Tribolium castaneum: one gene and its partners. The protein of the gene in region 1 purifies or fractionates together with the protein of each later gene. This does not show direct contact. Links are inferred from orthologs where the notes say so. Each region holds a gene or a part of one and is shown on either strand. Other genes may lie near its edges. The genes, in order: RYBP, CkIIbeta and chromobox protein homolog 3.

Region 1 (3,893 bases):
ATATTATATCAGTTCCTGGTCGCGTTATTTTTAAAGATAACAATTTCTAACTTACCTGTTGATATAAGCTTTGAGGACGTCTGTCATATTTGATTCTGAATGTTAATTAATTTACCGTAAGTGAAGCGTAATTTGTGATTTCTGGTATCAGTCGTTTCAATTATTTTTGATTAATTCAAGTTGTAACACAATTAATATTCAAAAGGCCAATTAATATCAATATTATTAGTGACAGAACTTATACAATCAGGTAATTTGATGGCGATTACTCAAGTGTATGCATATACTAGATGGAATGAAAACCCTAACCCCTATTAGCTCACCATTATCAATTGTACAACTCTTTGGGTTCACCACTAAATAAATCATTAAATTTTAAAACACATTGAGTACGTGAAATTTTAAATATCTGATAAGTTATTTTTAAGTAAACAATATTAATGCATTATTTAGTACATAATAAATTATGAAAGTAGCACGCGACTGTTTTCAACACAACCAAAAAAAAATATTAATAACGTTGCATTGGCAAGTAGATATCCACTTAAATTAAAAATGAAAGTCACTGAAAAATAGAAAATTTCGAATTTATTCATCACACACCATTTTCCATCAAACAAACATACGGACATCACTCATAAATACATTAACAATGAGCAACAATTTATAATACAAATTAGCTATTTCGAATATTATTACATAATATAAATGCATTTAATGCGGGTATATAAAGTCCTTCACAGTCTTTACTCGATAAAATTTTCTTCGAAACCCGAAAAAGTAAATCGTCTACGTTGAACAACAGCTGGTTGGGGCAGTGACAGCTAGGAATCGAGTACTATCTCCGTTGGCTCCTCTGATGATAGTCAAAAACATACAGGGTGAGTCGTTAAACGCCGATTCTTTCATTCCCTTCTTATAACTTAAGCGCCCAACAATTAGTGGAAGTTGTAAGTAATTCAAAGTTTTCAAACCTCCGGTTTCCGAAAGATTCATCAAACACCATATAGATTCCGTTTCATTCAAGTTAAAAAAAATGTGAATACGGTGTTGTCGGTTTTTTCCTCTTGAACGCGCTTTCATTTTTATTAAAAAAGTCTCAAAACCTTCATTACCGATGTGGAAATAATGCTTTTTTTAATATAAAAAATCAAGATGAAAAAACCTCAAGGAAAAAAAGAACGAATTTATCTCGTGCTTTGGACCCAATTTAGTATTTTTTGAATTCAAATTTCGCGAATAAGTGAGTTTCTGATTGAAAAATGCACTAAAACCTTACACAAATTTGATAATTTTTTGATTCATGATGAAATTCGGCGAAAATTTCTATATTTACAGTAAAAAAGAATTTAGTCACGTGATTACGAATTTAATTGCGGATTAAATTAATGACGCTTTGAAAAAATTCACACAGTACATACAAAGAAATAAAAAGAAGCTACAATAAACGCAAATTTTTTGAGTGATATTTGGTTTTCGTTTCATACTTTATTTTACTTTATTATTTATTATTTTACTGACCATTTATTAATAAGTAATTAAAGCGTCTCTTTGACATTGTGTGCATTCGAAATAATCAAATAATTGCATTTATTTACGAAAAAAAAAACAATCCTTTATGAACTACACAAGATAATGAAACAGAGACAACAATGTTACACTACAAAAAAGAGAAAATAACCTTAACAAATATTTAAAACAATCTCACTTCCGGAGTTGATAATCGCAAATATTTCGTATACAAAGCTTCCACTAGTCGTTTGTTTGCGTTTAAATCATAAGAGGGCAACGAAAGACGGTGCGTTTAATCACTCACCCTGTATATACAATCAAAGTAAAGTCGACGTCAGGCGTCATTGTCCTTCGAGTCACTGACACGCCACCCTTCACCTCGCGTCCATGCTGCTCTCCGAGTGCGATCCATGATCCGAAGAGCTGGAGCTGGAGATCGTCTCCGTGGACTTGCTCTTGGGCTTGTACTCGGTGATGATGACCGTGACGCTGTTGACGGTGACTTCGCGTGTCTGCGCCGTACTTCTGTCCACATTCTTGAGTCTTGGTGGATGGCGCCGTTTCTTCATCGCCTTCTTGTCCTTTTTCTTCTGTTGGCTGGTGGCGGGTAGGAATTGGCTGGCGACCTGCTGGGCCACCAACTGCGGGTTGATACGCGGCTTGCGCGTCGAGGTGCCCTTCCGGACGTCGCACATCAGGCATTTGAACGCCTCCGCTGTGTTCCTGAACGTGCACACGCTGCAGTCCCAGAAGTTCTCCTCGAGCACCTTTGCTTGACGTTTTGCGCGTCGGATTGGGCTTTTCTTGTGGTCCATTGTGGGATAATTCACTTTTTACGAGATTGCTGACAGCCAAAACACACGTCTAACGCCATGATTGACTCGAGTTTGACAGGAGAATGGTGCGCATGTGTGGCAAAGGGTGGCAGCATTGTGGCGCCGAGTTTGATTCGAAGGAATCAGCTGATTTCAATTTACAACTGGAAAACTAAACTCGGAGCGGTTTTGCATTTATTTGCATTTTTTTTAAATGGCTAATTTTAAAAATGTCTCATTATCAAATAAAACCTATCTTATTCGATAGATTTTGATGTGCTCTTTACGATGGAAAAAAGCATTTTTCCTAGCTCTTTTAGTTTGGCGATAATCGGCGTTTGAAAAATGATTTTTTTTTCAAGATATCGCCTTGAAACCTATGTCATTTTTGTAGGGCTTTTTATTCCGATTCTCAGTGATTTTACCGTTTTTCTCTGACTCTGTTTAACAGTTTCGCTTTAATCGGCGGTTAAAAATTTAAAAAAAAAGTGAAAATGGCGACCTTTTTTGCGTTTTTTCTGGAGTTTGTATGACCTAGAGCAACAAACAAAAAAGCAGCTGATAGCGCCTAAAATTATCTATTTTCATCATTTGACAATTTTTCCATTATTACATTTACAAAAATTTACTACGTCATTGCTGTTGTTTAAAAATTAAATCACCAGGTTTTTTTAAATCTAGCTTTGTATTTTATTCTTTCTCAAGTAAATTCTTGCATAACTGTTTTGTATTTTCTCATAATAAAATCATTGGATTTCTTCTGTGTATGCCTATTCGTGTCCTGTCATTGTAAGTTAATTTACTGACGATAACACTTGCTATTTTTACGATTTCCAACAATTTTTCGTTTCTTTTTTTTCAGCTAGGATAGATCTTCTATAACAATTAAAGCTCTCATGGAAATAATACCTAAAACATTAAATTGTTTTGATCATGGTTTAATTAGCATATTTCATATGATATAGAATCAGATAAATGAAATTATATAAATTAGTTCTGTACTACAAATAAATTTAGAATCCGATATGATCACAATAGTACTGCGTCTGAAATGCAGAAATTTCCCTTGAAAAATGCATTTTCTATTGTTGCATTTTATTCAACGTTTGTTATGAACAATCTCCGTACTCCAAATAGGAAAATTGCGCTCGTTACTGCCGCATAAATTATTCGTTCATTAAAATATGTTAATTTTAATTTAACTAACGCTGTAATTAAATTCAAAGGGTTCAGTTGCAGCAACACTATTGCATTTTTTCCGTTCAAGGTAATCGCTCATTATCACGAAATAATTAACAATAAGCGGGTTCACACAGATTTCTACAAAATATAAGGCAATATCCACGTCTTTATAATCCGGCTCATAAAAGGTATTGCCTAATGTACAAGCAGGACAAAACAAGGACTCTTGGATGGTGCATTCATGGCAAAGTTTTGACTGACAGCAACGTAAGAGAGCTTACACGATAGAATAGCGGATCCACGTCTTTGTTGGGTCGATCTAGCCCACATTACGGGATTTTGGACCTTAAGAAATCGACCGAAAAGCACCACATTCCATAATTC
Region 2 (3,813 bases), on another chromosome or scaffold:
TGCCGTCTTTCATACCCACTCAGCTTCAGAAAAACATCGTCGCACTAACACTGCAATTACAGTACAAGCGACAACAACCTTCCAATTAACTAAACACACCGTGGAAGAAAATGCAATGTATTATAACCACTTGTTTGTTTACAACACTCTCCCGCACAAGAGAATGAAGCCGAACAATAAATAATCTGCTACAACCTTGACTCGCAATTAACAATCACAATAAACCAATTACTACATTTTGGTGTAATTTAGCCTTTGTTTAAATAATGATAACAAAAGAGCCAGAATTTATTTATGAGTCAACAGTCTTCAAAAACCGCAACTAGCACGTCCCACTTGTGCAAGCAGATTTCTAAAAGTAGATTGGGTTTTCACTTTTCAACTAACAATAGGCGGTTAAAAGTTTATTGTCCGGTTCAAATGGAATTAAATGTCACTTAATAATTCGGGTGACGACGTCGCGGCGCCTAGGAAAGCCTTCGACTAGACCGGCCGTCTGCGCAAACTAAAAATAGGGAAATGATCCGATTTTCACTATTTTTATCTAGTTTTCACGGTTTTGGGTTACATAATGTCATCAAAAGAAAATTATTTATGGTTGACTATGTTTAGAGAGCGGAGCGCAAATCGGTCATTTTTATTTTCAGAAAAAAATTATAGTGTTTATACAGAGATTTTTATTGGAAACACATCCACACTTTTCGAAAAGTTGCAACAAACGTGCTGAACATTTTCAAAAAAAACTTTAATAAGCAGCTAAAAAGCTATCCTAATGAGCTCAAAAAAATAAATAAAAATAATAAAAATAATAATAATAATAATAATAATAATAATAATAATAATAATAATAATAATAATAATTTTGGAGAAAGAAGAATTGCTGATGTTAAAAAACGCTCTTAGCAGGTTTGAAAAGAAGTAATACATTAATGTAGAAGATTGTAGAAGATTTATAATGCCGGGCGGAGTCTTAAACTGCCTATTTTGAAAATGCCAAGTTGAAAAAAATCTTGGAAAAAGTCTCATTTAATAAGTTAAGACACACATGAATGCAAAAGTGCAAAAGTTATTACATAATATGTTGATTAATGAAGTTGATATGAAATTTTGATAACGGTACATTGTATTGAAAATAAAAAAAACATTTTATAAGTGAATATTTTTGATTAATTAATACTACTGTATGGATAGAAAAAAATACAGGGTGAGCGCGAGGGTGAGTTATTTTTGATTTTTTCTTGGATGCAACCCCGTTTGCGTGTGTGATAAGTTGTGCACGCCGTTCTGAGGTTTAACTGTAGTTAAAAAATCCCACTTGTAATTTTCAAACTTAGCGGTTAAAGCTGTCATTTAATGCCGTCACTTTCCGCTAGATGAGCCCAACATCAACTCTTTTTTCGCGTAGATGAAGTAGCGTAAGCGTGGCTAATCAAGGTACAAAGAGGTAAAATTCTCAAATATTTCTTTCCCCGATCACAATTTAGCCCTAATCTCGTCATTTGCCAACCCTCCACATCCCTTCTAAGCCCAAAAATGGGAAATTAACGTCGTAGTTGTGTCACAAATGTCATTAAACGTAATCTAAACATAGGGTTGGACAGCCACAACCGTCTCAAAATTCCAATTTTCTAAATAAATCGGAAATGTTTTAGGAAAATGAGCAGCTCAGAGGAGGTTTCGTGGATTTCATGGTTTTGCGGACTTAGAGGAAATGAATTCTTTTGCGAAGTAAATGAATTTGCCTGTTTTAAAGACGAGATTTTTGAGTGTATTTGCAGGTGGATGAGGATTATATACAGGACAAATTTAACTTGACGGGCTTGAATGAGCAAGTTCCGCACTACAGGCAAGCTCTTGATATGATACTAGACTTAGAACCGGGTATTTTGAACCCATCCCTGGTTTCACATTTTTTTAACTCGGCTTTTTAGATGATGAACTTGACGATAATCCGAACCAATCCGACCTGATTGAGCAAGCGGCCGAGATGCTTTATGGGTTAATACACGCTAGGTACATTTTAACAAATCGGGGGATCGCCCAAATGATTGAAAAATACCAGTCTGGGGATTTTGGGTATTGTCCACGAGTTTACTGCGAATCGCAGGCAATGCTGCCTTTGGGTAACCCCAACACTTTTGGTATTTTTTTGGGTAATGGTTTGTGCTTTAGGGCTGTCTGATGTACCTGGGGAGGCAATGGTCAAGTCATATTGCCCCAAATGTATGGATGTGTACACACCAAAGTCTTCAAGGCACCACCATACAGATGGGGCCTATTTTGGGACAGGTTTCCCTCACATGCTCTTCATGGTGCACCCAGAATACAGGCCAAAGCGTCCAACAAATCAATTTGTTCCTAGGTATAGCCGAACTGGCGTGAGTCTAATTGAAAGTCTGGTCAAGAGTGCTTGGCGAATTTAATATTGTCAGTTATCAAGTGACAACTGAGAAGTCAAAACCTACTTCATTTCGGAATTTTTGGGATGTTACGTATAATAATCCTCAATAACTTTACACGAAACGAAAAATTAGTCATTTTTTTATTTCGTTGTTTTTAAAGCATTGTCTTGACCCCGCTTTTATTTAGACTCACTTGATTTTTTTAGAATTGTTCTTCAACAAATGATTTCAGGTTATTTGGTTTTAAAATTCATCCCCTTGCTTACCAGTTGCAACAGCAAGCAGCCTCGACTTTTAAGGCGCCTCTGAGAAGTTTGAACTTTAATAATGGTAAACGTTAATTTAAAAGGTGTATACATTTGATTTAATTTATTTCTACCCCAAATTTGTGTATTCTTGTATGTATGAAATTAAATCTTGATTATTTTCTTTCATACTTTTGTATGGCGTTAACTTTGCATAAGGTTAAAAATGTGCAAAAATTCCATCATTTTTATAAATAGGGTTCAATGTATAATAAATTTCCCAGTTTTGTTTTTATAAATGTAAGGATAGTTTAATTTAGAAGCGTCACCGGTTTCGTGTAAAATTAACTAGCATTCAAGTTTGTAAATAACTGATTAAAAAATTCAGATGAGTTGGTGTGTCATGCCTGAGCTTAATTAGTAAATAGAGTGGTCAAAAGTCTGAATTTTTCAATCACACAGCGTAATCTAAGATGTATAAATAACACATTTTAAATAAAACATAGGAAGCAAACCTAGGTTCTGTATTTTTACTTAAGGTAATCACAACCAAGACTAAGTTATGAATTCGCATGTTATCAAATAAAATTTTCTGTTTTTCGTAAGAATCTTTATTTGACCCATTACATAAATAAAACACAGATCAAAATAAACTTATATTTACGCCTTAAACAAAAATTTATCTACAAACACACGCGCGCCTACTGGAACGAGTAGCCCCCGTTCTGTTGCCCCCTCAGCTGGGAGGGGTCCTCCATGGGGGGCATCTGCGGCTGGAACTGCTCCGCTGACAACCTAGTGAACAAAATCCCGACTCCTTCAATTAAAGCTAACAAAACGCCCCCAATGAAGGCGCTCCCGGCCATGGCCGGGAGCCCGTTTCTCGCCGCGAGGATGCCCCCAGTCGCGGCCCCACTTATAATGGAGTTCCAGGGGTCCTCCTTTTTCCTAATGTGGATTAGGGCGCAGTCAATTGTGGAGAACATGCCGCCCCAAACGGCAAAGTTGCCGGCGATTATAGGGGACCGTTGCTTGATAGCAGCCAAACTGCCAACCTAAAACGCAAAATCACCACGGGCTTGTGAAAGGGGGCACATACAAATCGTCTGTTGAAACCCGAAGGGGCGTTGCGAAAGCCTTTAATGCTCTGGAAAACGCCGCCGCCG
Region 3 (2,830 bases), on another chromosome or scaffold:
TGAACAGCTGAAAATTTCAGACATAATCTATAATACGTAGTTTATGTGTAAAAATTGATAAGAAAAAAATTTATCTATACCCAAATCAATCACATAGGCCATGCGTCCGGGCACAAAAATCTCCGACCGTTCAATATGCCGACTCTTCAGCGCACAAATCGTGTGGTAAATCGACTTCCCAATCTTCGTCTTAAACTTAAGCTCATCCTCATCCTTCTTCTGCACCTCCTTCTTCTCCTTCTCCTCCGTCTTGGCCGCCAGCCTCTCCAACTCCTGCTCCTGCTCCTGCTCGATGTGCTGTATCTCGCTCCTCACCTTCTGCAACAGGGCATAATCCAGCCCCTTCACCAAATGCGTATGCTCCATATCGCCCCCCAAGAACTTGCTCTCTTGAATCATCTGTCGGCGCCTCTCGGCCGCATCGAACCCCGACTTCAGATCAGGCGCCACGGCACGATAGGCCTGAGCCGTGGCCACCGGGTCGTCGCTCTGGTAGTCGGGGTTCACCCCCTGGCGGCGCTCACTGGCCCTGTCTCGGTACTTCTCCGCCAGTTCTGCCATCTTATTGTCCTCCTGCTTCTTCAACTTGGCGTAGTAGCTCTTCTTCTTGCGTCGCGCCTCGTTCTTGTCGTCTTTGGGGGGCGGCATCGTCGACGAGTTGGCCATCGCCTCCCGGATGGAGCCGGGGGCGGGCGCGTTCGCGGGCGCCGACCGCGGGGTCATCAACAACTTGCGGAAGTCGTCGTTGGTCAGCCGCTGCGACCCGGGGGCCGCGTCCGAAGGCATTTTTAACCAAAAACTGGGCCTGAATGTTGCAACTAGAACTGTCAACTGTCAATCACATAACCTTGCTTCCTCCTAGCCAGAAAAAAATTACAGTGAACCACTTCAAATGAGACCAAATAGCCCCAAAATGCTAAAAACAAGCTTTTTGCATTTACTACAATTACTATCGCGAATAATTAACCAAAATAATCAAGGAAAAACAGCAAATTCTTGTCGATAACACGTAGAAAAAATTAAAAAAAAAACAACTTTCCAACCCTGTCCCACAACTAACACTTAGTAATTATTTAATTAAGTATTTTTGCAAACCTACACGTATTTTTTTTTGCAAACAAAATTTATCAAAGTTTCAAACCAAAAAGTGCAGATTCAGTTGGGGCGCCTAACCACCGTTTTTTTCATACTGGGGGGGCTTTACGTTACGGTGAATAAACGCAAACGGCTTGAATAATAAATAATTCACCGGAAATATCACTATTTGGGGCTTTTAATTCATTAAATTAGTAAATAGGGGTGTAGGAACCTGCTTGTTACCGGCGGAGCGCACCTCCGCCATGTTTGTTTGAAAATTGTGAGCAAAGCGTCTGTTTTGCGGCTTTTGAAGTTATTTTAATTTCTTGCACGAAATCCCTCCAAAGTTGAGTAAAATTCGGCGTAAGTGTGCCCCGTGCGCCCCCCGGTGTGTACAGTGTGTTTTCTCCATCAGGGCACAATGAGCAAAAGCAAGAGGACGAGTCCTTCCCCCGCAGACCAAGAGGCCAACGAAGAGTACGTTGTGGAGAAAATAATCGACAGTCGGATAAATGCGGCCGGTATTAAGGAATACTACTTGAAATGGATCGGTTACGACGACAAGGACAACACATGGGAGCCCGAGGAGAACCTGGACTGTCCCGGGCTGATTGCGGCTTTCGAGGCCGAAAGGGCCAACAAAGACAAGGAGCGCAGCAAGAAGCGCAAGATGAACAGCACGCCGACGCCCGACATGAAGGGGGCCAAGAGGAAGAACGACGAGAAGAAAGTGCACGGGTTTGATAGGGGGCTAGAGCCCGAAAAAATAATCGGGGCCACGGATAGTTCCGGGCAGTTGATGTTCCTCATGAAGTGGGAGGGTACAGATGAGGCGGACTTAGTGCCCGCGAAACAGGCGAATATTAAGTGCCCCCAAGTTGTCATTAGGTTCTATGAAGAGCGTCTCACTTGGCATTCGCCCACAAATGACGAAAATAAAGCCGAGTGAAGGCTAGTTGTAAGGATATTCATAATGTACATATTCAACACGAATTATATACTATTATTAGACGAAAAAATCATTTGGACTAAGTAGGCGTTTAGAATCTTCCCGTATTATTATTATTTGAATCTGACTCCCTAGCTGTAAGTTTAGTTTCTTGACTTAATCAATAGAAAATTGTAATAATTTTTTTTATTTGAAATAAAACAAAACACCATTGCTTCGTTATCACTTATCACCCGAAAATATCATGAAAAGTGGTCCCATTGTACCCCACATCGCTAGTCGGCGCGTTCACGAAGTGAATATACATCCTAGAAACACAAAAAGTACAAAACCACACCAAAGACCCAATTACCGGTCCTTCGAAACCCCCAATTCCTTGCACACAACTTCGTACAAAGCCTTGGCGTGCTTTTTGTTTGGTTCCACGCCCAAGGCGCCAATGCTCATCAGAGTGGCTTGAGCGGCGGGCTCACTGGTGCCCCCCCAAGACATGTGGACGTCTCCGATCACAGTAGCCACACAATACTTGAAAAAAATTGAGTTATTCAAAGTTGACGTAACCTCAAACTTACATTGAGTGGCTTTGATAAGGAATTTGAAACAACTTGGCACAATTTCTGAGGCAAATCGGACGGGATTTTGCTCTGGGGCACGTTTGTCTCAACGCGAAAGTGAGGCATTTTGCGGAAAAAAATTGGCGGTGTTTTTATAACCTAGAAATGGACGTCAGAATTGACCTCTGGGTGACCTCCCAGGGGGGGGCGGGAATTTATACAAAAAGTGTATTGTTGAGGAAATTTGAAT

What was found.
Region 2: the proteins of RYBP (region 1) and CkIIbeta purify together in Homo sapiens (affinity purification with mass spectrometry; 5 studies listed by BioGRID and IntAct, counting the BioPlex papers as one, with this or other methods). This does not show direct contact. The link is inferred for Tribolium castaneum from reciprocal best matches to the Homo sapiens genes YAF2 and CSNK2B.
Region 3: the proteins of RYBP (region 1) and chromobox protein homolog 3 purify together in Homo sapiens (affinity purification with mass spectrometry; 4 studies listed by BioGRID and IntAct, with this or other methods). This does not show direct contact. The link is inferred for Tribolium castaneum from reciprocal best matches to the Homo sapiens genes YAF2 and CBX3.

What each region holds. Positions count from the first base shown.
Region 1 is NC_087396.1:24,591,048-24,594,940, reverse strand, and holds RYBP (YY1-associated factor 2), read right to left. Parts: upstream 2,432-3,893; 5' UTR 2,328-2,431; coding exon 1,887-2,327; 3' UTR 1,817-1,886; intron 857-1,816; 3' UTR 570-856; downstream 1-569. UniProt on the Homo sapiens protein: Binds to MYC and inhibits MYC-mediated transactivation. Also binds to MYCN and enhances MYCN-dependent transcriptional activation. Increases calpain 2-mediated proteolysis of YY1 in vitro.
Region 2 is NC_087397.1:979,853-983,665, forward strand, and holds CkIIbeta (casein kinase II subunit beta), read left to right. Parts: upstream 1-1,300; 5' UTR 1,301-1,444; intron 1,445-1,652; 5' UTR 1,653-1,656; coding exon 1,657-1,728; intron 1,729-1,778; coding exon 1,779-1,881; intron 1,882-1,931; coding exon 1,932-2,123; intron 2,124-2,172; coding exon 2,173-2,362; intron 2,363-2,634; coding exon 2,635-2,743; 3' UTR 2,744-3,247; downstream 3,248-3,813. Other genes in the region: mitochondrial import inner membrane translocase subunit Tim17-B, read right to left, coding at 3,349-3,702, 3,747-3,813. UniProt on the Homo sapiens protein: Regulatory subunit of casein kinase II/CK2.
Region 3 is NC_087401.1:16,339,863-16,342,692, forward strand, and holds chromobox protein homolog 3, read left to right. Parts: upstream 1-1,283; 5' UTR 1,284-1,440; intron 1,441-1,492; 5' UTR 1,493-1,498; coding exon 1,499-2,026; 3' UTR 2,027-2,237; downstream 2,238-2,830. Other genes in the region: beag (protein Red), read right to left, coding at 81-786; macrophage migration inhibitory factor homolog, read right to left, coding at 2,256-2,334, 2,379-2,551, 2,599-2,706.